7 linked regions of the Xenopus tropicalis genome follow. The protein of the gene in region 1 binds, or shares a complex with, the protein of each later gene. Links are inferred from orthologs where the notes say so. Each region holds a gene or a part of one and is shown in the gene's direction. Other genes may lie near its edges. The genes, in order: ranbp2, nup205, nup93, cetn3, nup107, nup160 and nup214.

Region 1 (4,891 bases):
TCTATAAAGGCTGGATCAGGCAGATGTCTAATATAACATAACAGCCAGAACACTACTTCCTGCTTTCAGCTCTCTAACCTCTTAGTTAGTCAGTGACTTTAGAGGGGGCCACATAAGACATAACTGTTCAGTTAGTTTGTGAGCACACAGGTCAGATTCAAATGCAAACTAACTGAACAGTTATGTCCCATATGCCCCCCCCCCCTCAATTCACTGGCTACTGACTGCTTACAGCTTAGAGAGCTGTAAAGGAGGAAGTAGAGTTCTGGCTATTATGTTAGACATCTGCCCATTCCAATTTTTATAGATTACATTTTTGCCTAACTAACTATTTTGCAAAACATTTTTCATTTTGCGCAGTCTGTCTATTTTACCCAGTTTCATTTTTACACTGATTGTTCCTATAACATAGGCAATTCACCACATAGGCTGACCGCACTGTCCTAGTAACACTCACTGTTTTGTAAATCCAGCCCTATCTACTGGGCTGTAGGGGAGACATTGTTAAAAGAGTGTGGAGACTTATTGCCCATGAATGTATTTAGGGCACAAAGGACAGAATGCCGATTACATAAAAGGAAATGTAGAAAGAAATCGCCAGCGCTCGGTCTAACCCACGCTGTAGTGTTAAAAGGATAAAAGGAAATGTGTCAGTTTGTTTTGAATCTATAAGGAGAATTGCATCCCCAATAGAATTGGTATTTGCCATATCGGGAGAACTGCATCCCCATTCCACTGTGAATTAATCTTATCAGGGAAACTGTGTCCCCATCAATGACATGAGATCTGTTAGTCACACAGAAATTCTTATTGGTTTGTAACACCTAAAACAGTATTTAAAAGCACGTCTTCCATTACATAGGCAACCCTAGTGGTCCTAATCAGGAGAACTGCGTCCCCATCATTGACACAATATATGTTTGTCTCATAGAAATTATATTGGTATGTATCGCCTAAAATATAAGAGCCCATCTTACAGTAAAACAGCCAGATTTCAACAGTTAGAAAACCAAAGCAAAGCACCTGATTGGCTGTTATGGGCAACATGACTGATAATGTCTTACTCCACTTTTTACACAGCAAGATAAATATGGACCCGTAACTGGATGCATACTAATAATAATTTTTATGAGACAAACATATCTGGTGTCAGTGATGGGGACGCAATTCTCCTGATACGATGTTTACCTGGCTGGTAAAAATGTTGCTGGATGCCAATGTAGTTAAAAGTGAAAAAAACATTTAAAAAAAATGCTGGTACGTCCAGAAAAGGTAGAGACCCTATGTAACGCACTAATATGTCAATGACAAATAATGTACTAATCAGCTCGTGTAGTGATTTTTTTCGAATTTTATTTTCCTATTTGCAAACGCTATAAATTCCATCAGCCATGAACTGGTATAGCAATTTAAGAAAAATAAAATGCACGGTACTACCTGATATGCATCACAAAACCCCCCTTCCAGAATCCAAATACAGATACAATTCCTGTCACTCTAAGCATATACACACCCTTCCTTCGCCTTACGTTGTCGCTGACACATAAACTCCGCCCCTTTGAGGCAATTGGCCATGAGGAAGACGTCAAACGTCAGCGACACCGTATCGCCGGCCTCCACTGGGGGAAATTGTCTCTATGAAGGCGTCACATCCGCTTTTTACGCGCGATCCTGAAGTTTGTTTTCCTGCTGAGGTAGAAAGCCGGGGCCTCGTGGTAAAGACCGGTGGGAGAGGAGGGAACGGTCATTAGACAGCAACGATAAAGGCCGGTAACTTGCCCAGCATGAGGCGAAGTAAAGCAGAGCTCCAGAGATACATAGAAAATGCGCAGAACAGCGCGACATCACCCAGAGAGGTGAGCGGTATCATGAATTCGCGCCCCCGGGCCTTGAACTGTAATGGGCAGCAGTGCCTCTTACCTGGGAAACCATTCTTAGTTTAAGCGCTTGTGTTAAAGGCTCATTTTTACCCTGGAGTTGCACAAAACGGCAGCCTCCTCCTGGGAGATGTGTAGGGCCTTATAATACAGACCTGTCAACCTTCTCCCATGTCATTATTGTGATAAGGATCCATTCCTGGGTTTCTTAAAATCTGATTCCTCTTCACTCTAGATGGTAAAGTGTTGTCACAGAAATGCCCAGGTTACTTGAAATTTTGGCAGTTGCTTTGAAGCTTGTGGGTATGGATTAGGTTTAACTCTGTCGCACCCCAGGAGACCAGTAAATACTGTATATACATTTAACAATGTACACTACAGAACGAACTACAGACAGATGTATTACTTAGTCAATAAAAATGCCATACAGAAAATATTTTTTGTCAAGCTACCAAGCATTTCTTGTCACTCTTGTGTCCCCTACTCTGGCTAAACCTTAAGGGTGAAGACACACTGGGCTACTAGTAGCAGCTACTTTTTCAAGGCTACTAAACTCCAGAAAATACCCTGCCATAGTCAATACTGAGAATTGCCTCTGCTAAAACACACAAGACACATTAGTTGAAAAATTTGAGAACATTAGTTGAAAAATTTGAAAACCATTACAAATTTATAATGAATGTATATTGCAAAGTTGCTTAGAAATGTATTTTCTTTTATTAGGCAAAACATTTTTTTGTGCTGACATGTCCAACACAACAATTTAATTCCAAATAACATAAAATAAAACATGCCTTTCAATGCTGACATGCCAGGACAGATGTGTATTTTTTCTTGAAATTATGACTTATTGGCTTTTATTATATTTATGGATAGACCGGTCTTTAGATATATAATGGAGAAGAAGTTCAGCATTTGTAAGTTTACTTTACTTATAAAGCAGTGTGCTGTTTATGCCAATAGTCATACAGGAAACAGTGTACATATTTTGTTCACTGTGTCTAGATGTTGGGTTATCCTTCTCTTTTTTTTCTCCCTTAAAATCCAGTATATACTAGGATCCCTTAGAATACAAAATATACTAGGGAAACATTTGTTATAAATGAAGAGATACAGTCACTGCGCATTACAAGCATTTTCAGCATGTAAGGTTAAAGGAGAAGTGAAGTAGAATTGCTGGGAGGTGGTAATTGTTTTGCTCCCCCAGTGATTTCTAATTGCTAACCTGGCAGCAATTCCCTTGAAAAAAAAACGAATCCGTTCAGATACATTTATATACGCCTATGAGAACTTCCCAAATCCTTCTGAGAAACACGTATCATTGTCATTTCTAATCCAGGGAAGAACCTATCCCTTTATTCCTCATACAGACCCACATCCTATATTTAATGTTGACATCAAAATAATATCCGTAAACTCCACACTAATATGCACACTTAATTAATATTTTATTATATAAAGGTTTTGAGTAGAAACTGATTATGTTGCTATAGCTAGAAGACCCTAAGGTTTATGGCCCATAGGGGGAGAATAGTTGCCCACAATAAATCTTTGCTACCACGAGCGACTAATCTGCCGAGAATGCCTTCCCACTGGCTATAATGGTATTTGCCAGTGGGTAGGCATACGCATTGCTATGTCAACCAAAGTTTCCTCACAAGGAAACTTCAGAAAAAAGATGCAGTGCATATAACTTTTTTGGCTGTAGCCAAGATTAACAGCAGGTGACTAATTTCCTCATGGTCCCTTACCTTGGGGCAGTGGCACACAAGGAGATTAGTCAAATCTTCATTACCGCAGGCAACTAATCTCCCTGCAGTGCCAACCCAACGGCAAGAATGTAAATCACCAGTGGGATGGCATACGCGTTGCTTTGTTTTCCTGAGGTCGCCCAAAGTTTCCTCGATAGGCTATCTCCCTCGTGTGCCACTGCCCTTAAAGACTCCCTGACAGCAGTACTTCATCTAATGACTCGGGTTCTTCTCAGCAAATTAACTGTGATCCTGCTATTTGATAACCACACAGCACAACTCGTAAACCCACAATTTATTTCTAAATACCTAAATGTGTTTAGTATTTAAAGGTTCTAATTCACAAGTTCATATTTTTAAACCTTAACCCACTTTTTCAGTCCTGAAAGACCAATTGCACAATGAACCAACTTTCCCCTTATGCAAATTGGAAAAATTCATATTTGTAAAATGAAATACCTTCCCATGTTGTAATAAGTTCTCAGTAAGTTGCCTACTATATCCCTAAATCTAATCTAAGTCAAGCAGATTCCATCTAGAAAAAAAATACATGTTAGCCTGATCCACACCATGTGGTCCAATAACACACTTGACACTAATCACTCTTTGATACTGTAAACGCTGCCTCTACACTGCAAGGCCTGTGCTTTTTGTTTACATAAAAACTTATAAAGACCCAGATAATGCACTTATATAGATGCTACCAAAAGAACCTGAGCTACTTTGTACAAGATTTTTAACTAGTAAAACATGCTGTCTCCTGATATGCCATCTTGACAACTCTAGCCTTCTCTTTATTTTTTTCAACATTTGCTAAATGTGATACCTGTGTTAAGTAGGTAAAAAAAAATACCTTATAAACAGAGGGTACTTTCAAGTTTCAAGTAAATTACAATTGGTAATTATGATGGTATTCTGTTTTGTGCTGATGCACCTCTCTATTTAGTAAAGTGTCCAAAAGCTTCTCCTGATATTTTATATACAGGCATAGAATGTATAATCATACTGGAAGACAAACGAAAACTACCTTCCAAACTTAAGTTTGATGAATAGTTTTAAAAAAATTAATTTGTATAAAACCTTTGATACCACAGAAATGTCATACAGTGGGGTAGATCTGAAAGTCCTAGAGGCAAAACATTAGAAGATGATTTCATACATTGAAAGGGATCATGTCTAGTTAACCTTAGATTCTGGCAACCAATTATGAGTTTAATTATGGATTAACTATTCCTACCTTAAATTCTTAATCCATATACATGA
Region 2 (4,162 bases), on another chromosome or scaffold:
ATTTCGGTGGCCAGGGCTGCTGAACCCCCAGATTCATACAGTATGCGCTACTGAGCCTGCACACATGGAATCCTTTGCTTTAGTTGCCATTTTTTAATATAATATGCATATGCAATGTTAACTACTTTGCAATATATAATATTTTATGGGAAAATGATAGGCCCTGTTTTCATGATTTCAGCAGAGAGCTTGCAAGCTGCAGGGGGTAGCCCAGTGTCCTGGGACCACTTCTTCCACTCTTTGATGCTGTACCACGAGCACTTGCGGAGGGATCTACCAAGCACAGACAGTATACACCTGCGTCACCCTCCTCTCCGTGGTATCACCCAGCGAGAGCTCGATGGCCTGATTGCCTGCTTGCAGCTCACCCTTACCATCGTCGATTGGGTAAACACCGCTTTGGCTTCTAGATACTATATAGTCTGTAATATAGGTCATTCCTTCATAGTTACATAGGGTTGAAAAAAGACCAGAGTCCATCAAGTTCAACCCTTCCAAGTAAACCCAGCACACACAACCTATACTTACCAATCTATCCACTCACATACAGACCCACACTGACCTATCTATCCACTCCCATACAGACCCATACTGACCCATCTATACACTCACATACAGACCCACACTGACCTATCTATCCACTCACATACAGACCCATACTGACCTATCTATCCACTCACATACAGACCCACACTGACCTATCCACTCACATACAGACCCACACTGACCTATCCACTCACATACAGACCCATACTGACCTATCTATCCACTCACATACAGACCCATACTGACCTATCTATCCACTCACATACAGACCCACACTGACCTATCCACTCACATACAGACCCACACTGACCTATCCACTCACATACAGACCCATACTGACCTATCTATCCACTCACATACAGACCCATACTGACCTATCTATCCACTCCCATACAGACCCATACTGACCCATCTATACACTCACATACAGACCCACACTGACCTATCTATCCACTCACATACAGACCCATACTGACCTATCTATCCACTCACATACAGACCCACACTGACCTATCCACTCACATACAGACCCACACTGACCTATCCACTCACATACAGACCCATACTGACCTATCTATCCACTCACATACAGACCCATACTGACCTATCTATCCACTCACATACAGACCCACACTGACCTATCCACTCACATACAGACCCATACTGACCTATCTATCCACTCACATACAGACCCACACTGACCTATCCACTCACATACAGACCCACACTGACCTATCCACTCACATACAGACCCACACTGACCCATCTATACACTCACATACAGACCCACACTGACCTATCTATCCACTCCCATATAGACCCATACTGACCTATCTATCCACTCACATACAGACCCACACTGACCTATCCACTCCCATACAGACCCACACTGACCTATCTATCCACTCACATACAGACCCATACTGACCTATCTATCCACTCCCATATAGACCCATACTGACCTATCTATCCACTCACATACAGACCCATACTGACCTATCTATCCACTCACATACAGACCCATACTGACCTATCTATCCACTCATATATAGACCCACACTGACCTATCTATCCACTCACATACAGACCCACACTGACCTATCTATCCACTCACATACAGACCCATACTGACCTATCTATCCACTCACATACAGACCCATACTGACCTATCTATCCACTCACATACAGACCCATACTGACCTATCTATCCACTCATATACAGACCCACACTGACCTATCTATCCACTCCCATACAGACCCATACTGACCTATCTATCCACTCATATACAGACCCATACTGACCTATCTATCCACTCATATACAGACCCATACTGACCTATCTATCCACTCATATACAGACCCACACTGACCTATCTATCCACTCATATACAGACCCACACTGACCTATCTATCCACTCACATACAGACCCACACTGACCTATCTATCCACTCACATACAGACCCATACTGACCTATCTATCCACTCACATACAGACTCATACTGACCTATCTATCCACTCACATACAGACCCATACTGACCTATCCACTCATATACAGACCCACACTGACCTATCTATCCACTCACATACAGACCCACACTGACCTATCTATCCACTCACATACAGACCCACACTGACCTATCTATCCACTCCCATACAGACCCATACTGACCTATCTATCCACTCACATACAGAACCACACTGACCTATCTATCCACTCACATACAGACCCACACTGACCTATCTATCCACTCCCATACAGACCCATACTGACCTATCTATCCACTCCCATACAGACCCATACTGACCTATCTATCCACTCACATACAGACCCACACTGACGTATCTATACACTCACATAAATAAACTATATATACACAAACATTAATACGAACTGTAGATATTAGTATCACCCCCGGATGGTATCCATAGAAGCACATGGATTTTCAGTATGTGTAGGCCAGGAGCAAGCAGAGCAAATTGTCTGCTTTTCCTCCATCCTATTTATTTTATATGGTGTGGTTTCATAGTGACTTCTTCTTTGCTGGCAGAGTGAAAGTGCCCGCCTTGCTCTGTGTGAGCATGCCCAGTGGATGCCAGTGGTCGTTATTCTTGGCCTCCTGCAGTGCAGCATCCCACCACTCCTTAAGGCTGAGCTCCTGAAGACACTGGCTGCATTTGGCAAATCCCCAGAGATCGCAGCATCCCTCTGGCAATCCCTCGAATATACACAGGTATGTAATGTATTCTTTTAGCTAATCACACTGGCTGGGTGGCAGAGTATAACCGCCAAAAGCATAAGACAATAAGAGTTATATTATGTACCCTGAGTACATTTGACAGAATATAGCAGGAAGTGTGAAAATGTACTTAATTTTTTAATTTTTTGCTTTTTTCTTTTATTAACAGATTTTGCAGACTGTAAGAACCCCAGGGCTACGGCAAGGAGTCGGGATTGAGGTAATTTTGTGTAATAATAGTGTAACTTTTCTATGCCACACTATTATATCTGTTTAATATGCATTGCTTCTCTGTATATTTGTATTTATACATATGGGTAGGTGGTGCCATATTGTTTCCCTTAGACAGTACAGTATGGGGGTACAGCTTATTGTGTGCCCAGAACATTCCTTCTCTGTATATTTGTATTTATACATATGGGTAGGGGGTGCCATAGTGTTTCCCTTAGACAGTACAGTATGGGGGTACAGCTTATTGTGTGCCCAGAACATTCCTTCTCTGTATATTTGTATTTATAGATATGGGTAGGAGGTGCCATAGTGTTTCCCTTAGACAGTACAGTATGGGGGTACAGCTTATTGTGTGCCCAGAACATTCCTTCTCTGTATATTTGTATTTATACATATGGGTAGGGGGTGCCATAGTGTTTCCCTTAGACAGTACAGTATGGGGGTACAGCTTATTGTGTGCCCAGAACATTCCTTCTCTGTATATTTGTATTTATACATATGGGTAGGAGGTGCCATAGTGTTTCCCTTAGACAGTACAGTATGGGGGTACAGCTTATTGTGTGCCCAGAACATTCCTTCTCTGTATATTTGTATTTATACATATGGGAGGGAGGTGCCATAGTGTTTCCCTTAGACAGTACAGTATGGGGGGGGGGGGGGGGTACAGCTTATTGTGTGCCCAGAACATTCCCTCTCTGTATATTTGTATTTATACATATGGGTAGGGGGTGCCATAGTGTTTCCCTTAGACAGTACAGTATGGGGGTACAGCTTATTGTGTGCCCAGAACATTCCTTCTCTGTATATTTGTATTTATACATATGGGAGGGAGGTGCCATAGTGTTTCCCTTAGACAGTACAGTATGGGGGTACAGCTTATTGTGTGCCCAGAACATTCCTTCTCTGTATATTTGTATTTATACATATGGGTAGGGGGTGCCATAGTGTTTCCCTTAGACAGTACAGTATGGGGGTACAGCTTATTGTGTGCCCAGAACATTCCTTCTCTGTATATTTGTATTTATACATATGGGTAGGAGGTGCCATAGTGTTTCCCTTAGACAGTACAGTATGGGGGTACAGCTTATTGTGTGCCCAGAACATTCCTTCTCTGTATATTTGTATTTATACATATGGGTAGGGGG
Region 3 (4,856 bases), on another chromosome or scaffold:
GGGTGGGGGGAGCGGGGACCTGAGCGGGGGGGGGGGGGGGTTGTGGCAAGTTGGTTTGTGAGCCAGAAGGCAGCAGGTGGGATGCATGTGCAGTAGAGATGGTTAAAAATGGTGGCACCATTCACTGAAACAAGTATGTAGTTTATAGTATGTGTATCTCTGTAAATGTTTCATTAGACAAGCCACAAATATAGCGTTTTTACACAGGAATAGTAGTACTATTTAATAGTGTGCTTAATAGATTTTGACTTTCCTTGTTCTTTAAAGTTGTCCTCTAAATTGTGGAAAATATTGCCTTAGTCTTCATATAAAACATTAAATGTGCTTTTGGAGCCCTGGATCATTCTGCTGCAAAACTGACAGGGAACCGGCATGTTTATGAATTAGGACAAGAAGAAAAGATTTCTTCTAGTTGATTGCACCCATGGCCAACTTCTAAACTAGTTCTTAAAATACATTTACAGCCCAAATATAGAAACTGACCATAAGTAGATAGGTAGGCTATTGGCCAGTCTCTCATCACATAAAGAGAGCAGGCCTTGCAGTATCCCCACAGAACCAAATTCTACTACACAGTGACAAATGAAAAAAACAGAAAATTGCATGTCATCTTTTTTTATTGCTTTTAAAATTACAATTGAAAAGCACAAATTACTGTTGCCAACCATGAACAAAAGTCTGGGACCCTCCAACACCACTAAAAATAAAAAGCCTAAAAACTAAAGATTATTATTGGTACCCATTGTCTTCTCTCAAACTAAATATTTAATGTTGTCCCTAAATTGTAAAAAAACATCCTAACTTTTCACATAAAACACTGGATGTGCTTTGGGGGCACTAAATCTTTATGTTTGGAAATTGGCAGGGAACCTGCACATTTTTGAATTAGGACAAGAAAAAAAGTACTTCTGGTTGATCTAACCCATAGCCTTCTAAACTAGCTCATGTACCCTCCCTGGAATGTGAAAATCCTGCCCATTGTTTGCACAAACATACTGGGATCTAAAACCACCATAAAAAAGCAGAAAATACCAAGGTTCATTTTGGTGAAAGTCACCCATTGCCTTCTTGGTAATCAGCCAGTTTGTAAAAAATCTGCTTCTTGTTTACAATACACTGGGACCAGCAAAAACACTTTCCTTTTCGGTCAAATTTGACGAAGAGGCTCTGACAGCGGTAAATACTGTTGGCAATCAGGAAAATGTGTCTTTTTTTCATTTCCTAGCACAAGCTTCAGCTCTGAGTGGAAAATAGAAATTACTTCTGATAATATTGAGAATTACGGTGGCGAAAGGAATAGTAGGCAAAAAAACATGAAAGAAGTCTGTTTTGTTCTTTAACAAGAGTAGGAGGTGCGAGCAGGGCAAAAACCCAACTTGATAAGACCTGGCGCCGCTTACTAACAGCTTACGATAACGTACCGCTCAGTTACGCTATCTCTGCTTGTCACTTCCCACAACACGACTGACTACATGACGTTTGCGTGCGTTACGTTAGCCAGACGTCACAGTCTCGCGTGACGAGACTTTTGGTGTCGGGATTTTCTGTAATACAGGAGGCGGGAGCTTGCAATTGACATCTTTGCTGAAAGTGTGAGTAGTGTTCCTAGGGCTGTGTTAGGAAATGCGAGTGTCTTGTAAAAAGAGGGACTATTGGGCAGTATGAAATGGGTTCCAAAATGTGTTTAGTATAAAGGTTGAAGGTAGCAGCGATAGTTACTACCCATTAATGCCTTAATAGGGATTTATCTTCTGTCTATTTAGTCACGTGTATCATCCGTTCACAGTCAAATACATGCATTCTGAGGGATTCCTTTTGTTTCAGTATGTGCTTTGAATATCATATTTATGTTTTTGTGCCAATAGTATAATTAATAGGTAATAAAATATGTGAAAAAAAATTCTTAAAAACGTGGAGCTGAACATTAGTGGAATAATGAATGATTCCCAGCAATGCATTATTTTTCTATTTAACAAAACTCTACTGTCCTGGCAGCCAGATGCCATTCTGTTCTGTGGGGAGATCATCTTCAATGCATAGTGGTCCATTTTGGAATGAATCTTTCCAGCATAGAAAATAAACATTGGCTGTCAAAGTTTTATTAAGTTGAAATTTGATTGCTGGTCAATTTAAATTGGTCAGGCCTTTATCAGCTCAAAAGACTATTTATGAATCAATTTTTATACACATCTAATACTGTTTAATTAGTGTTTAGTGGTTTTTATTATAGAGGTGAAATGGTTAAACAGTAGCAAGAATTGATAATTGTAGATATAAATGCCTTTCCAGAGATGAGTTTTAGTTGTCATTGTTCATGTTCTTCCTCCACTGGGAAAATGTACCCAATTGTTGAGCAGTTGTTATCCATCAAAATGCTTCATATTCAGTTTCCTTTTTGAAAGATTGTTTTCTAATTACCCCAGGTTAAAAAGTCTAAAATGAAATTGGAAACACATTTATTTTAAAGATTTGTATTAATTAGTTTTCTCAACAACATAAACAGACAGTGACCCAGCATTATATGAACAAAGCAGTAATTACAAGGGTTCAGATTATATTCATACACAATTTAGACACCTGTTAGGCAAACAGATCTGCCTCAAGGCAGGCATTAAAACAGGAATCCTATCCTCAAACTTTTTGGGGCTTCGTCTAGTAAGGGGTGCCAGTTTTATAACTGATAGAATGCAATTAATTAGATTTGCTTAAAGGAAAACTATACTCCCAGAATGAATACGTAACCAACAGATAGTTAATATCATATAAATAAGTGGCCTATTGAAGAATCTCTCCAAACTGGAATATATATATATATATATCAGTAAATATTGCTCTTTTACATCCTTTCCCTTGATCCACCATTTAAAGATGCGCTGTGGGTACAAGAAATAATGTGGGAGCAAAAGGCAATTTTCTATTTAGGGTTACCCAATAGCACATACTACTAAAGAAGTATATTAAGTATATTTTTATGAAAATTATTTATTTAGAAGAAACAGGGTTTTACATATGAGCTTGTTTATGCAATATATTTTTATAGAGACATACATTGTTTGGGGGTATAGTTTCCCTTTAAATTGCTGACCTGTGGTTGGTTGAAGAGTCATCCACTTTATTGTACCAGTTTTTTGGCATAGAAATATAGTGTTTTTAGAAGAGTTCTGGATTTATTCATGTGGGCCAGATCATTAAAGGGGAACTCTCAAAACAATTTTAAGTTTTTTGAAAGCAAACATAATGTCAACCAACTTTGTAATATACATCAATTAAAAAAATATGCATCCTTTTCATGATTTTTAATGTAATAATTTGGTCAGACCCCTGTTCTTCTGCTGATCTGGCTGACTACTTTGAGACTCAAATAAATTGTAATAGTAGTAGGCTGCCTTCAGCCTGCATCCTCTATCCCACTATTCCCTGCACACTTGATGTCAATAAGGAAAGGAACATCACATCGCAATGCATTGGGGCCATGTAGTTCCTGTAAACTGTGGAAAAGTTATTTGTAACATCAATGTCTCCTCCCCTGCCAGGATTTCAAATAATACAGAAACAGTAGAATTTTTTTGCAGCTGGTTTTCAGCATATAAAAATGGTTTATTTATACGTTTTGATTACAGTGATAGGTATATTGTGGGTTTCTGTGTTCTCTGGGGCTCTTTAACAAATTTTGGTTTGGAAATAATTGTATATTGTAGGGCATGCCAATAATAAATGAAAAGCTGCCCATGGCTTTCAGCTTCAGTGGTGTGATATATGTCTTATGAATTATACTAAATTGCACCATCTTTCTTTGGTAGAAATGAAGTAGTTATAGAGGTCATTTGTCATATTGTCCCACATATTATTATGTAAGTGGGAATCACCTTCCCACTTGTGTTTAGCCATCTCAAATGGTGCTTCTAAAGAGGATAGCAGTATTTTAAATAGGTCAGATTTCAAATTATTTGGGTTTTGGTCCCATAATCTAAAATTAAGAGATAAGATCTTAGTGGTAACCAGCTGGGGGGACCAACCTCGGCAATGAATGTATGGCGGTAGCAGTATAATTGTTATAAGATAATAGTCAGCTAATTTATTTTCTTTGTAAGTTTAGTCAGGTTTGGAAAAGTGTCCTCGACCAGGAGATCTTGTAAGTACCAGATCCCTAGTTTGCACAAATACTGAAAATCTAGCAGAAGCAGGAAATTGTGATAATTGGTGTTTCTCCATAAGGGAGAGCAGGGTAGTGGTGGGAGGGCAGCCTTTGTAACTAGTGTAGAGGTCAGTGTCCTCGCTTTCTATGAGTTCATCAATATAGGGGGTATCTTGGGTGTCTTTGGCTTTTCTGGGATATCCCGTAGCGGGAGGTGCACCCACTGGCCACTCATTGCTTTAAAATGATGCATCATAGGTTCAACATAAATAATATAATCGTTGGTATTTTGGGAGATAGTAATACCTAGATATTTAAACTTAATAACCCATTTTCAGCCCTGGACCTTGCCTTTCTCTAGGTCGGAAGTAGAGGGTTGATTTACCCTTGTTAATAGTGAGCCCACTAAAAGGAGAACAAAAGCCTAACTAAAGAATTAGGGCAGAAATGTTGTACATTATGTTTTGGCCTTCTGTACCAGCCCAAGGCGACCACAGCCTTTTAGTAGGGAAGATCAGTGCCTCCAAAGATGCCCAGTAGCTTCCCATCTTCTTTTTTGCTGATTCACTGCACATTCTCTGTGCTGCTTTCAGTTAGGGACCGGCTCAAAATATATTACATAAATAAAAATATAAATTTAACAGTAAAAGGCTGATCTGAAACCAGGGCAATTGCATCTAATTGAAAAATTAGCCCTGTAGCATCAGCTTCTATGACAAAC
Region 4 (4,944 bases), on another chromosome or scaffold:
TGTATATGGACTGCTGGGACTTGAACTGAAGTCGCAAGTCGCACAGTTCCAGATTTGTAATTTTATGGTCCGTTTGCCTGGGTCAGTGACCCTTCTCTCAACTAGATTGCATGTTCAGTTGCAGATTGGAAAAATGCAGACAAGGAAGAGCTAATACAGGTATGGGATCCGTTATCTGAAAACCCCTTATCCAAAAAGTTCTGAATTACAGGAAGGCCATCTTCCATAGACTCCATTATAAGCAAATAATTCAAATTTTTAAAAATGATTTCCTTTTCCTCTATATAGTATTAAAACCAGGGCAATCTGAAACAAGGGCAACTGCATCAGAACTGAATAATTAACCCTGTTGAATCCACTTATATGACAGACATATGTCATTTTCTGCTTGATAATTTGCAATGACCCCTAAGCTCAGCTTCTCAACTGCCTCTCAGAGCTCACCGAACATGTGCACTGCCCCCGACAGTTCTAACAGAATCCAAAATGGGGAGCTCCTGTGACAACTGTAAAGACCTATATTATTACTACTATAGAGATGCTGAAACTTTTGGCTAATGTCAGACAAGGCGTATGGTGTATATTTTTGGCAACCTGAAAATGCCGTAAATGCCGCCATACACCTACTACCTGTGCCTGCATCCGAATGTATGTAATACGCCCGTGTGCAAGACTTTGCATTCTCTTGCGTTTTTATATGGGTATCGGCTACATGTGCCTGCACCCGAGCGTATTCTATTCATTCGGCCTGGTCTGACATTAGCCTTAAGCCAGGTACAGAAGAACAGGAACAGCACCTCTTGTCTTTGTAAATTAAAATGCCTTTATTGCAAAGTTTTTTGGGGCAAAGAACAACAGCAGCAACCTTTAGGTCTTATGTGACCTGAAACGTTGCTGCTGTTGTTGTTTGCCCCAAAAAACTTTGCAATAAAGGCATTTTAATTTACAAAGACAAGAGGTGCTGTTCCTGTTCTTCTGTACCAGGATATGCCGATGGAAAGTGGCCATTGGGGAACCTGCACTACTTCTAACTAATCACAAGGCTTAGTGCTGACTACTACTCTCCAAATTAGCCTTAAGCCAGTCCAGTCAGTTTTTTATATAAAATATGGCATTTCTAGCCATATTCATTTTTAGGGAATAGTTTACACTAACTGGCAACCACACAATTAAAATAAAAAAACGTGGAAGCTATTAGGGAGCATGAATTGCTGCTAAAAGGTATGAGTAAATCATCCAAACTAAGTATGTTACCAGATTTACACAGGAATGGGGTTACTATCAAAATATATTTCTATCATTTTTACTTTAAAATTCAGCCCTGATATGTGGGTTAGGTGGCAGCTCCCTTCATGCTTTAGCTCGCTGTAAGGTAGTGAAGCATGCCGGGAGGTGTACTATTCAAGCGTTACGGGGCCGCTTGCATTTCTCTCGCACTGTGCATGAGTTTGAGCTTCCCGCTCCTTGTCACACTCCAAGCGCCTTGTTACGTCACTGCCTAGTAACCAGCTCATTTTTCCGGCACCTCCCCCAAGCGCCTCACTGCTCTCCAATCACAAGGCGCTGTTAGTGCCAGGCTGATCCCGTTGCTAGGGGAGAAGTTGTAACGGTAGCCAATCGGAGGCGCTGCCTTGTGTTTACGAGGTGGCGCCTAGGCCTGTAAGTGGGACAGCAGCCCCGGCTGACCGAGGGAGTGTGGCAGCGCTGTGCGTCTGTAGCGGAGGAGCGATGAGCTTGGCTGTGAGGTGGGTGCATTGGAAGCACAAAGGAAAGGGGGTTCACAGCGCTGGAAGGCTGGGACCCCTATAGAGTTAGGTTTATATAAAATAGCAGTGTCCTATCTGTGCTACTTCCAGCTTTTGTTATACTGAAACTCTCAGCGCCACATGGTGATGGGGTTAGTTGCAGTTAAACAACAGCTGGCGAGCTGCAGATTGGATATTCTTTATTAATACACTAACAATTACAAGTGTAACGCCAAATAGGTCCTTTGCCATTTGACTTACCTTTTGTGCTCTGAGCCTCATGTATGTGTTCCTTTCCCCTGAAACTGTTACCCATCAGTCTCCCTTAGCAGGGGGCTATTTATTGGTGCACTTTGTGTCAGAACTTATCTTGTCTGTGTAAATGCCTTTGTAATGTGAAAGTGAAATATAAAGTGATTATATATATATTAGTGTGTATCAGAGTGGGGGCCGGCAGAGACAGAACTGGTACAGATGTTACACTGGATTCCATACACTTTTATTGGCCCATAGAGTGAATAAGTGTGCCAATACATGAGCAGTTTGGCTTTTCTTAAAAAGACAGTAACTGGTTGGCCCCTGACTGGATGCAAAACCGTAAACGGGTACATTTGGCTATTTGGCTCTCTGTGTGGGTGGCTGAACTAAGGGAGGATCCATGCAAATGTTGCCCTGACCACACAGGCAAGTCATTACGTGTATGGCAAGCTGCATATGGAAATGCTCTCATTTCTTGTATGTTTCTGTTCTGTTCCATCATCACAGCTGACTTATGCCGGGGGACAGGGATCTTTCACTAGAGACAACTCTGGGATTTTATGTTGGTGTTTCACTAGTGAACAAATCATTTTTGGGCTCATCTGTAAAAATGTACATTATCCTAAATTATGGGCCAGGAATAGTTTATATGAATTAGGGTGCGATTTAGGTACAATGCTTATTCCTTATTTAGGTAAACTAAATAAGGCTAAAAACCACCATTCCAGGTATTTACTACAGGTGTGCAGATCCTTGAATATAAACACTTTGTATATCTAGTTGTATCCCAGATTAGAACAGATTCCCAGGTTGGAACACAGTACATCTGTCCCACTTGTATTCCAAGTGTTTAGAAATGTCAGCTAACTAGATGAGGAGTTGTAACTACTTGGGGGTTGTAGTTCTGTAATACTTGAAAAGCCACATACTGCGCTAGCAGCAACAGCCTGTTATTTGTTTTGAAATATGCTGCACTGTGTGTTTAATGGCAACAGGAAGATCAAAAGGGCACAGCACACAAAGTGTTAAACAGTGCAACCACCACCAGGCCAGAGTAACAGGAAAATTCAGTTTCAGTGTTATGTGCTTTGTATGTTTTATGTTAGTAACTCACGTCTCTCGCAGGACTGATCTAGCAGTTGACAAAACGAAAAAGAAGAAAAGAAGAGAATTAACAGAAGAACAGAAACAGGAAATAAAAGATGCATTTGAATTATTCGATACAGACAAAGATAAAGCAATAGATTATCATGAATTAAAGGTAATAAAACTTTTTCCAAGATTTGGACTTGGTGTTCTTAGTGTTCTGCCAAGCTGAATCCATGCCATGGGGCTTTAAAGGAGGGAGTCATTAGGTGGGGGTGGCATGTTTGGGTGTAGAGGTTCTCTGTTTATCTGGCTGTGGGTAATTGCTTTACAGTGTCAGCTAGGGATCCAAGTGGTTTGCAGGTTAGATTATAAATTTGATGACAAGATGAGTTTTAGGGCTGTGACACACGGGGAGATTAATCTTCCTTGTCGCGGGCGACTAATCTCCCCGAAATGCCATCCCACCGACTAGAATGTAAATTGCCGATGGGATGGCATACGTGGCGGCGCGATTTGCCGATGTCGCCGAAGTTTCCCGTGTGTCACAGCCCTTAAATGATACTTAAAATGGCCTGACTCTCTGTTAATGGTTGATTGTATGGAAACGGGATAGGGTTGCCAACTTTTCTCTTGGGCAATACCAGCCGAGACGGAAAAGTGGCAGCATGATGATGTCTGAGGGCTTAAGGAGCTGTGATGTAAAAAAGGGGCAAGTTGTGATGCAGAGGTGGTGGATCAAGCAGTGATTGGGTGAGTAGGAGTAGGCAGGTTTATAGAGTGGTTGGGGGATACAGGGGAAGCGGGGAGAGGTGGTTGGTGCAGGCTGGGGATGTTATCAGTAGGGATTACAAATATAACAGTACATTTCAGTTTCCGTGTTGCTGGTGTCTTTTTTTTTTTTTTTTTTTTGTAATAAATATATATATATATATATAGATATATATAGAATAAAACACAGCCAGCACCAAGGGTCTTGTGGTTTAAACAAATTTCCGTGTTGCTGGTGTCTTTTTTTTTTTTTTGTAATAAATATATATATATATATATATATATATATATATATATATATATATATATATATATATAGATAGATATATATAGAATAAAACACAGCCAGCACCAAGGGTCTTGTTTATAATAAATAAAATACACGGCCTGCAAGGGTGATAGTAGGGTGAGTTTTTTCATACATAATCATGTATTTTATTTACAGGTAGCAATGCGAGCTCTGGGATTTGATGTAAAAAAAGCAGATGTCCTAAAAATCCTTAAAGACTATGATGGTGAAACAACAGGCAAAATTACATTTGATGATTTTAATGAAGTTGGTAAGTGGGAAAACATGACTGCAACATACCCTAAGTTATGCATCACTTTTAACAGCCACAAGCCAGATTCCCACCCAGTGAATTCAGTGGCTGCGTTTTGGTTTGTTTTTTTCTGACCAGTTCAGAGAAACAAAATAGTGCTACTCCACCAATGCACTTTCGTTTTCCAGGCTTCCCTAGCACTGACTAAGGGCTCCTACAGACAAACTTTTACTTTAGGTTAGTTAAGGTTTATCTTTCATTCACTCCACTTCGAGGAACTGTATGAAGAAATGCAACCTGTGTTTTTTCATTAAGGTTGTACTCCCTGTGCTGTCTGGAAGCACCAAATGCAGATGAAATGCATCATGTTGTGTTCTATCTGCATCTGTCGCTTCCCTGCGTCAGAGAGAGTACAAACTCCTTGAAAAGAACAGGCTGCTTTTTGTCATGTGGTTCCTTGCAGTGGAATTCATGAAAGATACAGCACAAGGGAATATTCGGTGCACCAGGCCGGGTAAAAAAAAAAAAAAAAGAATAATTAA
Region 5 (4,162 bases), on another chromosome or scaffold:
AGTGATTCCACTGAAGGTTTTTTACTTTCAGTAACTAATTGTCCATGAATGGGGCCAAAAGGCGAACTGTCTGATCATCCTCCCTGATTACCCTATCTGATATAGGTTTAGTTCTAGTTTTACAGCATGTAAAAGGAATATTTGGTAATTATTTATTTATTTTTTTGTTTGTTTTATATAAATAAAGATATTGAAAGAACACACAATAAATATTGTTCACAATTACTGACAGTCATGGTGTCTCCGTGATACAGAACAAAAGTAAAAAAAAAAAAAAAAAAAATGGGGAAGCAAATATGCATCGGAGAAATACACAAAGTAATCACATTAACTTACATTTGTACAAACATACAAGTGCTATCCCATCCTGGTATAGAGTTTATTTATTAAGCGAATGTTCAGGAGACCGAAAACACAGTTGGTTAATATCAAGCCATGGGCTCCATATTTTATCAAATTTATCTGGGCACCCTCGGGCCTGGTAGGCGAGCTTGATATAGGTAAGAGTTTTGTTAATTAGATTGACCCACTGGGTGACTGTTGGGGCATTGTTTCCCATCCAGTTCATTACAACTACTTTTGTTGGCATAGTACAGAGTTAAAAAAAAATAAAAAATTATATTTTCTCTTTTAAAGGAACTGAACTGCAAGCTGTGGAGGGAAATCCATATAGATGTGTGTGGAAAACCTGCTGTTGGCGCATGGCAGAAGATGTAAGTTGTAAAATGCTAAATATTAAACTTGCTAGAATGTTCTTTATATAGTACCTTGCTCTTGCCTTCCTATACATGTGCGAGCACGGGGTTTCACTTTTCACGTGAAAAATCTTAAATATTGTCATTATTTTTAGGAACAGTTCAGTAAATATGAAAGAGCCATCTATGCAACACTGAGTGGAAATCTGAAACAGGTACATCATGTTTTCAGTCTGAACTTCTTACAGTGCAGTTATTGTTGTGATCTGTCCATATGTAAGCATATTATTTACACATGCTTTCTGTTAATTGATTGGGCCAGGTATACCGGGCCAGGTATACCAGACCAGGCGCCATGCTAAAAATTCTTATTTGAAGGTGACTAAGCACTCGAAACATGGGAAGAAAAGGATTTACTTGCTGTTTAGTACAAAAATTAGGTGAAAAATCTAGGACTTCATTAGACAGTGATTTTTAGCTAATACCCAAATCGGTTTTGCAAAACTGTAAAACACAAGTACACTGCCTGCAATGCACTGCACCGCACTTAGTATGTCTTAAAACGACAGATAAGGAGTTAAAATTGAGGGTTCCACTCAGTCAGATTTTGTACATACCAAACTGGTTACATATACACCTTTCACTATGGGAATAATACTGCTGGACAGATTTTCTCTTGTACTGTTCTTCCAGTTGTGCATTCATCCCTTCCACTACATACAGGCCCTGATGTCCTTTGCCATTTTTTCTGCTTCTTTCTTCTGCTGCACTAGTAATCTTACAAACACTTATGCCTTATTAATAAGACATGGGGTTTGTGTGGTAAACACAAAAAATGGCCCAGTACCCATTCCTAAATACACATTTCTTTTATTGGTAATAGTAGGCTATTCCAAGCAGCTGGTTAATTTAGTCATACATTTTGTTCTTTTCAAATTGATTAATTTTTCTGCAATTGCATGAAAAGTGCCATTTGCTTTGCTTTGTTTTTAATATGAACTGGATTTTGCTTCTCAGTATTTTGAATTGCATGTGCTTTTTGTTCCCAGCTTCTTCCTGTGTGTGAGTCCTGGGAAGACACTGTTTGGGCACATTTTAAGGTTATGGTGGACAGTCTGGTAGAGCAAGAGATCAGAGCATCTGTCATCTCAATTAATGAGGCAAATGAGCTTCCCAGAGAGTATTTGGAGGCAAAGTAAGTCAAGCTCTTTATTTATGTGTCTGAAACCCGTATCTGGCTTCCAAGTTTTAACTGTGTTTTAATTTTTTTAAAGCTGGACTTTAGAGAGAGTTTTTGAGGAGCTTCAAGCCACAGACAAAAGGGTATAATATTGAATGCCTTCCTCTTGATAATCGTATTAAAATTAAAAAATGATATGGTTTAAACAAGTATTGTTGCTTTTCAGAGGGTATTGGAGGAAAACCGTGAACACTACCATATAATTCAGAAGTTCGTTATCCTTGCAGATGTAGATGGTAAGTTTTATTTTAAATAAAAAGAAAAATTAAAAACATGCCTGTTTAAATCTCTCAGGCACTCCTAGTTTCCCTGTCTGGCATCCAACACTTCCTGCACCCCAACCCAGGAACTACTACTTTCTTCCATTAAATACAGGTCTTATGGATGAATTCTCTGAGTGGTTGGCAAATGAAAAAAAATTACTGCTGGGACATCTTCTGAGATTCATGACACATCTGATTTTATTCTTCCGAACTCTGGGACTACAGACTAAGGTAGTGTTTGTGTTTGTAGTTTCTGTGTCTGCCTTTTTTTAGTATATTGATTTTAGCTGACTGTATATCAGATATTGAGTCATGAACTGCGTTCTCTATAGAATATTTGCTTATTGCTGCTTAACAATAATTCTGTAGCATAGAAAATAACAAAAGGCAAATGGATATTGTCATCATATGAAGTAATTTACATTTACTACTCTTCAGAAATATATCTTTGGGCCCTGCACACAATATATTAAAGCGCTGGCTGAACAGTACCATTTAGAACAGTGCTGTCCAACTTCTGTTGTGCCGAGGGCCGGAATTTCTCTAGCATATATAATGGAGGGTCGCTAATGGAAGCCAGTTTTGATCACTCCCCTTTTTTAAACTGCACCCACTTCAAACCACACCCATGTTATCACAAGACTATGCCCACATTAATGGTGGTAGTGCAGCAAAAACCCAAATGGTTGGTGCTCACTGTGGGGATATCAATCATCATTCATATGTAAAAGAATTATATTATGTTATATTAAGACACACACTTAAGTCCATATGCCTCCTCCTCCCCTGTGGATAGCACAGCAACCCCCAGAACATAATTACACACCTTAGGGACCATTTAATAGCTATTTCCAACTACTAACAAACTCCCAGAACAAACCTCTGCCAGGTTCACCTCCTGCAGGCAGAATAGGGCAGATAGGGCTGCCTGTGTGTGCCATACTCTGCCTGCACTATGCTGCCTGTGTGTGCCATACTCTGCCTGCACTATGCTGCTAGTATGTGCCATGCTCTGTCTGCCCTATGCTGCCGGTGTATGTGCCATACACAGTATATACAGTGACACAATGCTGGCACTGTTCCTACAGTCTGAGGTGTGAAGAAGTGAACAATGTGGGTGGTTACAGCCTGAGCCTGAGGTGTGAACAATGCAGTAGGTGAACAATGCAGAGAGTAAAACGTGTGAACAACACAGGGGATTACATGTTTAAACAATACAGGGGAATTACAGCCTGAATCGGAGGTGTGAACCATGCAGGGGACCAGTTTATCTCAATACTGATACCATTTAAAGCTTACACAAAGGTAAGCCATCAAAACAGCCAGACAGGTGGGGGGGACACACAGTGGGGGGTGGCGGGCCACCGGTTGGACAGCGCTGATTTAGAAAACACTCTCTTATCACGGCATGTGTTTTTATTAGCAAGTCCTAACTTAGAGTGGACACAGAGTGTTTTCAAGAGTGGACGCTTCTAAAATTGCCACTGTTCAAAACATGTAAAAAATAAATAAATAATGAAATAGTTTGCAGCACAGTCCCTGCAGTTATGGATATGTACAAAGCCTCATGTGGGGTAGAAACCTATAGCCTAGGTACTGAAGCAACAAAGTAATTAATTTGCAGCTGACCCATCCCTTCTGTTTGTTACTTGATGCATCCACAAGCATTTTCTATGTATTTTACTAATCTGCAACAAAAGAAATATCTTTTAGGAGGAGGTCTCTGTGGAGGTGTTGAAGACTTACATACAGGTGAGAGGAGTTATATACTTGAATATAGTCCATTTTTTATTTTTTTTTTCAATTATAATTTTTATTACATTTTCTAAATTTACAACACAATAGAAATTAGAAGGAAAACAAGACAATTCTCATTAGGCGTTCTGTTGAACTTGTATTCCATTGATATTGAAATATTTAAGTAACGTAAGAGGAGATAAAGTGGGAGGGAGAATGGTCGGGTG
Region 6 (4,162 bases), on another chromosome or scaffold:
TCGATCAATGTATCTTTAATATAAGCTATGGGGGGGTTGGTTTGAACAAAGTTTTGTCCTTCAAAGGAGACTTTAACCCAAAAAAGTCTGAAAACCACTGATCTGCTTGTTTGGCTATGTCACGTTACCTTATGTTCAGTGACATTGGAAATTATTCACTGACATATATTTACTTTAATGTCATATTTTTTTTTTCCCCCCAGGAAATCATTTCAGACAGCCACATTCAATCAATATTTACTGACATTGGGAAGACCAATTTCCACGATCCCAACAACACCTATGTGATTCCAGCTATTCCTGGACGAGCCCCCAATTCTACTGCTTCCACGGCATGGCTAAGCAGCGATGGAGAGGCACTGTTTGCGCTCCCCTCTGTTTCAGGAGGAATTCTTGTAATTAAAATGCCTCCTCGTGACATGGAAGGTACTAGTGATTGCCTAACATTTTATTTTTAAGAATATGGAAAGGCTTTGATGAAATAGAATCCTTGGACAGCGCTCCCTCCCCACTCCTGAACAGTTTCCCCCCCTTCACCTTTTGTCTAAGCCTTTCATTCACCTATTTCTTTGGGCAATATTTCTTAAAAAACAAACTTGTAGAATACTAGAGAGTGGACCTGATAGACAAGGAAGTACACTAAACCTATAAGCTTATGCCTGGGATGTTAATGTTGTTGGGCCATTTTGCTTTTGGTCAGGACTATCATTTACATACCTAGAGAATGGTGTGAGTAAGATGGCCACATTTTGTTGTACCTTAGGTGTACCTGCTGTACTTTTGGGGGCATAATTTTATGTTTCTATATGTATATTTCCTTTTTTCATGTTTCTGTAGGACTTGTGACCATTGCAGAATTGAAACAAAGTTCTGTAATGCAGCGACTTCTCACAGGGTGGATGCCTTCATCTATACGGTGAGTGATGTCTTGGTGGTCTCACAGGTTGGATATATTCCAAAACTCATTACAGGGATTATATCCTTTTGCATCAGTCTCTGCAACCAGTAGAGCTTACAATCTAAGGTTCATGTTAAACACACACACACTATAGTCAGTTTAATCAGGTGATTGCTATTACATTTACAGGACTAGGGAATATTTTCCTTTTAACAGTTGGTTGCTGAAATCATGTAGGGATTACATGGCACTTTTACTACTATGTTCATTGGGGGCATTGGGTTGTATCCCATATAAAAAAAAAAGTAGTAACTGATAAACTGTTGTATGGTATTGTGGCTCTCAAGATGGTAATTATGAATTTATGTGCCTAGAGGTGACCCGGGTCCGGCGCACCTTCCTGTAAGCCTTGCAGTTCATACACTTGATCATGATTCCTACCTCTTCGCTCTGTGTCAGGATCATAAACTCCGCATGTGGTCATACAAGGTGAGATTTTTTTAAATTATTTTGAGATAATCTGTGGTTTGTACAGATGGAACAGTCTTTATAACGGTATTTGGCATGATATTATAATAGTGATGTGCAGCAAGCCTGAAACCTGAGCGGTTTGGGCCAAAATGTCTGCACACAATGCTGGTTCAGGTTGGCTGTGGGTCATACTGTTCTTGCAATGCCCATAGTACTGTGTAAAACTGCTTTAAGTTTATTGCTTCAAAAATCCCAGCTTCTCCATCTTCACTGGCTCACTAGATTATACAGGTGCCATTGATATGCAATTACAAGATGGGTGCTGGTCTGACCAGTGGCAACATTTTGGGGTTAGGGTCAGTTCCAGTTGAGTTGTTCCTGACCCTCTCAGCACTATATTGAGAGTTGGTGTGGCTGTGTGTGCCACATGACTTAAGCCAGCCTCTTCTGAATTAGATCATTTTATTGTGTAATTACCCTTAAACATATTAAGATTTCATTATCTTGCTAAAACTAAAAAGACATTTAGAAAAAAAAAAAAAATTTTAAGCAGCTTTCGATTGTGACTTTATAAAAATGTTTTCGTGCTTAAAGAGCTTGTGTTACATTGTTTCAAAAGCCAGAGCCACCAGGGCAAAGTATAGAAAAGGACAGACAAACATTGATTTTCATAGCAATAATATATACAAATAACTTTAAAAAAACTGTTACAATTTTGTAATGATTGTATATTACAGAGTTGCTTAGAATTACGTTTTCTTTTTGAGTTGACATGTCCTTTAATATGAACTGTGACCATTTTATATATTGCGAACATCAGACGTCATGGTCCTTTACTTTTCCCTGGAGCACAAGTGCTTAAGAAATGAGGGCCACACAAAAGTGGCCATCTAACAAGCATCTGTGCCCTGAGGAAAGCTGCACTTTGCATACTGCATTCTGCAACATAAATGACCCCTTCCATGTTTTTAAGCTAGTTAGAAAACACAGCATAGAAATCTGGAGGCCTTGACGACAAACCTATAGAATTCCAAACAAATGATTAATAAGCCTGTATCATAGTTAAGGGTGGTAGAGATTAGCAGTAATACTTTCTGATTTGTTGGTTCTATTGTAACTTTCTTTTCTTTCTGTAATTTTTTTTTTCCCCCAAACAAAGCTAAAGCCTTTAAAAAAATAAATAAATAATGAGCTTTGGTGCTTTATTCCCAGGATCAAATGTGCCTTATGGTCGCCGACATGTTGGAATATGTGCCAGTTAGCAAAGATATCCGTCAAACAGCTGGGACAGGACACAAACTGCGGCTTGCCTACTCAGATACATTAGAAATACTTTACCTTGGGGTATATTTGCACACACCCAGACAAGGACAGGTAAATTGGAATCCGGATATTCTTTAATTATTGCAGGGGTCGGGAACCTTTTTGGCTGAGAGAGCCATAAACACCACATATTTTAAAATGTAATTCCGTGAGAGCCATACAATATGTTGGGCTGCGGGGCAAGGTAGGGTGGGTGCCAAGGATGAGGAGGAGGGCGTAGCCTGCGCTCGGCGGATAGAAGACGTGTTTTGAGGCTTAGAACACGTCTTCTATCCGCCAAGCGCAGGCCACGCCCCCTGTTATTTTTTTTATTAAAGATTTGGCAGAGAGCCAGATGCAGCCATCAAAAGAGCCACATCTGGCTCCCGAGCCATAGGTTCCCTACCCCTGAATTATTGTCTTGTCATTTTTGTGTCCATAAGTTCTGTCCTATTTCTTGTGATGCTATTACTGTCCTGTTATTTGCATTGCATCCACAGATCTTGGTCAGGCACAATGGTTGGCTATTTCTTCTTGTCTCTAATTAGAAACTCTCAAGTAGGCTCCAAAGTTTTTAGTCATGGAACTTTCTTTTGTGCCAGTCATGATGGGAATTAGATGTTGACTTACTTTAAGGTGGAAGGACTTAAAGGGGTTGTTTGGGTTAACTTTTAATACGTTCCAAAACGGCAACTTTTTAATTGGTCTTGATTTTATCTTTTATAGTTTCTGAAGGGGTCACTGCCCCCGACAAGCAAAAAAAAACTATAGCTCTGTGAGGCTACAATTTTATTATTATTGCTACTTTATTGACCAGACGTAAATTGGACCATAGCAACCAGAAATAGTTGACCGTTTTTCCTTTTGTCCCTTTTCCTAGTTCTGTGTATTCCAGTTGGTGTGCACGGAAAGCAATCGCTACAGTTTGGAGCATACTTCCTCAATATTCACTAATCAGGTAAGCAAGTTGTTAAGAAAACTCCCCCAAAACAGTAAAATAGCATTTGAAATGGATTCCGACTTCCCGCTTCAGCAACGCCTTAAGATCTTTTCGGTGTCACCGTTTGTCATAGTTTCATTATAAAACGTTTTTTTTTTTTCCCTATTTTCTGATCAGGAAACTCTCATCGACTTCACTTTTACTTTATCTTCTATGAACATTTGGGCTTTGTGGCTGGACGATGACAACCAAACAGTCATGAAACACATAAATTTTGAACGGTAAGTGATCAGTACGTATGTGTATATCTGCTGTGCGACACTGTTTACATAGCAAATAATTTATTTTTAGCTGTAATATTGGTGTGTAGGTGCCATCTCAGTGCATTGTGCCTGAGTTTGAGCTTTCAGAAGGAGCCAGCGCTACACATTAGAACTGCTTTTCATGCTATGGTTTCTCTTACTCCCATGTAACTGAAGGAGTCCCAAGCCGGACTTGTTACTATTAAGTGCTATTCCGATATCTACCGGGAGCTGCTATATTGCTCCTTT
Region 7 (4,162 bases), on another chromosome or scaffold:
TTTACATTGTTGCCGGTGGGATGGCATTTGGAAGTTTAGGTTTCTTGCAACTGAATGAGCTCAAAAAGTTGCTAAATTTATAAACACTAAGCAAAGTTTGAACCCAATCAACATTTGGACACTTTTTTTTTTTTTTTTTTAAAGAAAAACTTTTAACTACTATATTGCTGCATTTTAATATTGTTTTCTGTTACTTTCCTCTGCAGTTATGGGACCCCAAGGTATACACGTGCCTATGAGTTGTCCCATTCACCATTTGGCCCTGAGCTCTGACAATCTGACACTATCCGTCTGTATGACTTCTGCTGAACAGGGAACTTTTGTCTCCTTCTATGATGTTCGGACGCTGCTGAATGAGGTATTTATATACTTTCCAGGTAAAGCTAGTATTTCTGTCAGTCTCAAAAATAAACAGGTGCTTTCTGAATAGGTTTTAAAATTAAATTGCATTAGCTTTGCCAGGAAAATTTTGCTGCTAGAAATCAATGTATTGAGTCTTTGGGATGCAACATTCTTCTGTTTCTCATTCTTGTATGTGGCAGTGACTTCAGCCTGCTCTGTCCATGTGTTTAATTTCTGCCTCAGTGTACAGGGGCTTTAATGGCTGCAAAATCCAGCACTTTTTACCCTTCTATAGATGTAATAGTGTAGCTTGCATTTGGTAATTTGTACAGTGTAATTGCCAATATAGCTTGTGTCGTCACCATATTGGAAGTTGCTGTCTAGTCTGATGTTCTAACTAGTGGCCTGTGAAGGATCCCAGGTTGTAGTATTAATGGTTAATACTGAAATCCATTGATATGTTTCATTTCGGCTACATGGCAGCCCATTAATTGATTTGTTTGCTTTTCTGTGCAGTCCAAGCAGCAGAAGACCCCATTTGCAAGTTATAAGTTGCTGAGAGATCCCAGCAGCTCTGTTACAGACCTACAATGGAATCCTGCCTTACCCACGATGGTTGCAGTGTGTCTGAGCGATGGCAGCATCTCTGTCCTGCAAGTCACAGACACAGTCAGTATGTTTGCCAACCTCCCAGCTGCTTTGGGGGTGACTTCAGGTAAGTGGCATCACACTCGGTTTGGCCAGACAGTTCCTGGCCCTTTTTTTTGTAATAATTTTTATTGAAAATTGTAAATATGTCTCCTTTCCTTTTTTTTTTTCAGTCTGCTGGAGCCCCAAAGGGAAGCAGTTAGCAGTAGGGAAACAGAATGGAACAGTTGTACAATACTTGCCGGTAAGTGATATTCACACACTTTAAGAACAGAAGTTACAGAACTGTATATATTACACACAGTACTTACTTGTAAGGATGGTGACGCTGTATCAGGACAGGGAAAGCCTGAAGCTCCGAGCTGTTGCAGATTCGGAGAGGACAAAAGCCTGATGATTTTTTTTTTTCACACTTTCCTCATTCAGCTGTTTTGCTCACAGATCCATATTAAATCTCTTATACTGTTTAAAATTGTCTGAATCACAGTGACATTGCTATTAAACCAATGGCAGCACTGGGATCCAGACATAAATAGCCCTAGATTGTCGAGTTTAAAGGACAAGAAAATGGAAACCGGTTTGGGGAAATGTTCTGGGTTCCTTTATAACAAAATCTGATAGGGTTTTATTTCCTAGTCCCTGCCTGCAGTCACTTAAAATGGTAGAGTGCATTTTATAGCTACAGACTACTGTATAGCAACCATTTTTAATAGAATAACAGAACTTTTCCCATATATTTTGCCTAATAATTCCTTTTCTGGCTAGCCAACCATTTACCCTTTGATATGCCATTGAATCAGCCTTGCTTATGTCATATTGCATCAAAAGTGTCCACTCCTACTGCAGACTAGAATACTGCCTTAAAGGGCTTCTGAACCAAAATGTGTTAAAGAGCCCCACACAACACAGAAAAGTATCAATCTTTACCATTTGTTTATGCTGAAATCCAGCTGCAAAACAGTTCTTCTATTTTTGCATCAAATGATGCATATTTTTTAACTGATGTATATTGTAAAGTTGCTTGAAATTATGTTTTCTTGTTAAAAAGAAGTTGTGTTTGGGTGGGAATATGTTGCTTTGAACTCCACTGACTATTTGACAAGTTCTTTTTTGCAGGAAGTGAGCAGATAAAGACTTTATTGATGCCAGTATTCCCAACCAAAATTAATTCCTTTTTGCTTTCAGAGTCTTCAGGAGAAAAAAGTGATCCCGTGCCCTTCGTGTTACGACCCTGATAACCCTGTAAAAGGTGCTGCACATAGACTCTCTCCTGTTGTTTATTTATAGTGTTTTGTTTGGTGTATGTGTGGGTGCATACGTGTATCGTTATCCACCACTACCATACAGCACTGTCACCTAAGCCTATTCATGTTTTTTTTTTTCATTTGTTTTGTTTCCAGTGTTGGATGTGCTGTGGCTCAGTACTTATGTCTTCACTGTGGTGTATGCTGCCGCTGACGGATCATTAGAAGCCTCTCCCCAACTAGTTGTAGTGATACTTCCGGTATGTGCATTTCCCCCATTTCACCTATTCTAAATAGGCACATCTCCCCCATCCGTATAGAATAGTTTGTATTGCATATATCCCCTTCGTTTTCCAGTGCCATCACATTTTCCTATAACAAATAGCAGCTTTCACCTGGCAGCCATTTTCCCCTCTGACACATCATCATCATCAGTGACATTTACATCTGCAAATAGCACGTGTGCCCTGTAAAGTTCATGCAATAAATAATGCGGGCTTACACAGGCAGAATTTACTTTGATAAAAAGTTCTGCTTGAATTGAACACTGTAATGGTTAAGCTGGGCTCAAGACAGGAGGTTAGAAGAAAAGACAACTAGAGCAGAATTTTTTTTGGATCCAGCCATACCATCTATTCATTGGCTACTAGACTGGAGGGAATGTTTAGTAATCTGAGCTGAGAAGAACTGAGCATGCTCAGTAGCCAATACCCAAAATAAATTCCTGAGGTAGGGAGCCGAATGGGTTAGAGAAGGTGAAGGAAATCTAAATGACTAAGGGGATTCTGCAGCCTTACTATTAACCTTTGAACAACCAGAGTGGCAGTTATTTAAAGATTTCAAAGAGGCTGTTCACTGATTAGATTTTTTTTACATGTACTGATTAAAATCATATGAAGCCTTGTGTATGGCCTTTACTTTGGATATCAGTTGGTTCTGTGATCGGCCAGTTTGATAATGTATATATGGAAGTTAAGAGGAGCTGTTGATCTGATTATTCTAGCTGTCTTTCCCGACTGGATGCAGACAGCCACAGAATATTAGATTTAGATCACATTTAGATTGTAATCTCTATGGTGTAGGGACCTCCGTCCTCTTGTCTCTTTCACACTTAACTCCTGGGAATCCTAAATGCAACTGTACTATGTATTTATTATTTTACTTTGTATTTATTTATTATTGTATTGACCCCCAGTTTGTTGTATTAATTAATTTATCTGCTGTACAGTGCTGTGTAAAGCTATATAAATAAAGATATACATACATACAAGTTGTTTATATCCATGTAGAAAAAAGAAGACAAACGAGCAGAGAGGTTCCTGAACTTCACAGAGATGTGCTTTAGTATCTGCAGTGAGCGACAGCACCATTTCTTCCTGAATTATATTGAGGATTGGTGAGTGGTGTTTGGAAACTGTTTGGCAAAATAATCATTTGTGAACTGATGATTTCAACATAGAAAATGCTGGTGAATCACTTTTCCTGGCATTTCTGTGCACAGCCAGAGACTTTGTTATTATTCTGTTTTTTCCCTCTAGGGAGGTTCTGTTGGCAGCATCAGCAGCCTCAGTAGATGTTGGTGTGATTGCGCGGCCCCCTGACCAGGTAATAAAAGTTGCCTTGATTTTCTTTTTTTTATATTTTTTTTTTTGTTTAAATAGATGCATATTGTGGTTCCTATTCAGTCTATAACTAAATCGGAGCTTTCTACAGTGCCGACACCAAGCTAAAGGCGGCCATACATGGGTCAATGGAAGCTGCAAATGGACTGTATATGTGGCCCTCTGACAGGCATACCCGACCAATACGTGGCGGAGAATCAGCCAGATGTTGATCTGATGGCCTGCATACACCAATTACGATCCAATAGTTTGGCCCTCAATATCGCCCAACTCAAGTTGGCCATATCAGGGAAAGATCTGCTTATT

What was found.
Region 2: ranbp2 (region 1) and nup205 share a complex: the UniProt entries of both Homo sapiens proteins name them as parts of the nuclear pore complex. The link is inferred for Xenopus tropicalis from reciprocal best matches to the Homo sapiens genes RANBP2 and NUP205.
Region 3: ranbp2 (region 1) and nup93 share a complex: the UniProt entries of both Homo sapiens proteins name them as parts of the nuclear pore complex. The link is inferred for Xenopus tropicalis from reciprocal best matches to the Homo sapiens genes RANBP2 and NUP93.
Region 4: ranbp2 (region 1) and cetn3 share a complex: the UniProt entries of both Homo sapiens proteins name them as parts of the nuclear pore complex. The link is inferred for Xenopus tropicalis from reciprocal best matches to the Homo sapiens genes RANBP2 and CETN3.
Region 5: ranbp2 (region 1) and nup107 share a complex: the UniProt entries of both Homo sapiens proteins name them as parts of the nuclear pore complex. The link is inferred for Xenopus tropicalis from reciprocal best matches to the Homo sapiens genes RANBP2 and NUP107.
Region 6: ranbp2 (region 1) and nup160 share a complex: the UniProt entries of both Homo sapiens proteins name them as parts of the nuclear pore complex. The link is inferred for Xenopus tropicalis from reciprocal best matches to the Homo sapiens genes RANBP2 and NUP160.
Region 7: ranbp2 (region 1) and nup214 share a complex: the UniProt entries of both Homo sapiens proteins name them as parts of the nuclear pore complex. The link is inferred for Xenopus tropicalis from reciprocal best matches to the Homo sapiens genes RANBP2 and NUP214.

Annotation. Positions count from the first base shown.
Region 1 is NC_030678.2:109,312,187-109,317,077, reverse strand, and holds the start of ranbp2 (ranBP2-like and GRIP domain-containing protein 4), read left to right. Parts: upstream 1-1,552; 5' UTR 1,553-1,784; coding exon 1,785-1,856; intron 1,857-4,891. UniProt on the Homo sapiens protein: E3 SUMO-protein ligase which facilitates SUMO1 and SUMO2 conjugation by UBE2I. Involved in transport factor (Ran-GTP, karyopherin)-mediated protein import via the F-G repeat-containing domain which acts as a docking site for substrates.
Region 2 is NC_030679.2:6,640,422-6,644,583, reverse strand, and holds part of nup205 (nuclear pore complex protein Nup205), read left to right. Parts: intron 1-181; coding exon 182-387; intron 388-2,597; coding exon 2,598-2,780; intron 2,781-2,955; coding exon 2,956-3,006; intron 3,007-4,162. UniProt on the Homo sapiens protein: Plays a role in the nuclear pore complex (NPC) assembly and/or maintenance. May anchor NUP62 and other nucleoporins, but not NUP153 and TPR, to the NPC.
Region 3 is NC_030680.2:43,614,064-43,618,919, forward strand, and holds the start of nup93 (nuclear pore complex protein Nup93), read left to right. Parts: upstream 1-1,584; 5' UTR 1,585-1,592; intron 1,593-4,856. UniProt on the Homo sapiens protein: Plays a role in the nuclear pore complex (NPC) assembly and/or maintenance. May anchor nucleoporins, but not NUP153 and TPR, to the NPC. During renal development, regulates podocyte migration and proliferation through SMAD4 signaling.
Region 4 is NC_030677.2:178,970,587-178,975,530, forward strand, and holds the start of cetn3 (centrin-3), read left to right. Parts: upstream 1-1,702; 5' UTR 1,703-1,728; coding exon 1,729-1,745; intron 1,746-3,128; coding exon 3,129-3,264; intron 3,265-4,305; coding exon 4,306-4,420; intron 4,421-4,944. UniProt on the Homo sapiens protein: Plays a fundamental role in microtubule-organizing center structure and function. As a component of the TREX-2 complex, involved in the export of mRNAs to the cytoplasm through the nuclear pores.
Region 5 is NC_030679.2:58,837,035-58,841,196, forward strand, and holds part of nup107 (nuclear pore complex protein Nup107), read left to right. Parts: intron 1-636; coding exon 637-713; intron 714-850; coding exon 851-910; intron 911-1,744; coding exon 1,745-1,890; intron 1,891-1,969; coding exon 1,970-2,018; intron 2,019-2,101; coding exon 2,102-2,171; intron 2,172-2,310; coding exon 2,311-2,429; intron 2,430-3,911; coding exon 3,912-3,950; intron 3,951-4,162. UniProt on the Homo sapiens protein: Plays a role in the nuclear pore complex (NPC) assembly and/or maintenance. Required for the assembly of peripheral proteins into the NPC. May anchor NUP62 to the NPC. Involved in nephrogenesis.
Region 6 is NC_030680.2:15,983,975-15,988,136, forward strand, and holds part of nup160 (nuclear pore complex protein Nup160), read left to right. Parts: intron 1-203; coding exon 204-426; intron 427-837; coding exon 838-916; intron 917-1,272; coding exon 1,273-1,387; intron 1,388-2,581; coding exon 2,582-2,743; intron 2,744-3,551; coding exon 3,552-3,629; intron 3,630-3,788; coding exon 3,789-3,892; intron 3,893-4,162. UniProt on the Homo sapiens protein: Functions as a component of the nuclear pore complex (NPC). Involved in poly(A)+ RNA transport.
Region 7 is NC_030684.2:12,402,543-12,406,704, reverse strand, and holds part of nup214 (nuclear pore complex protein Nup214), read left to right. Parts: intron 1-206; coding exon 207-358; intron 359-858; coding exon 859-1,057; intron 1,058-1,163; coding exon 1,164-1,234; intron 1,235-2,175; coding exon 2,176-2,239; intron 2,240-2,390; coding exon 2,391-2,494; intron 2,495-3,523; coding exon 3,524-3,630; intron 3,631-3,772; coding exon 3,773-3,839; intron 3,840-4,162. UniProt on the Homo sapiens protein: Part of the nuclear pore complex. Has a critical role in nucleocytoplasmic transport.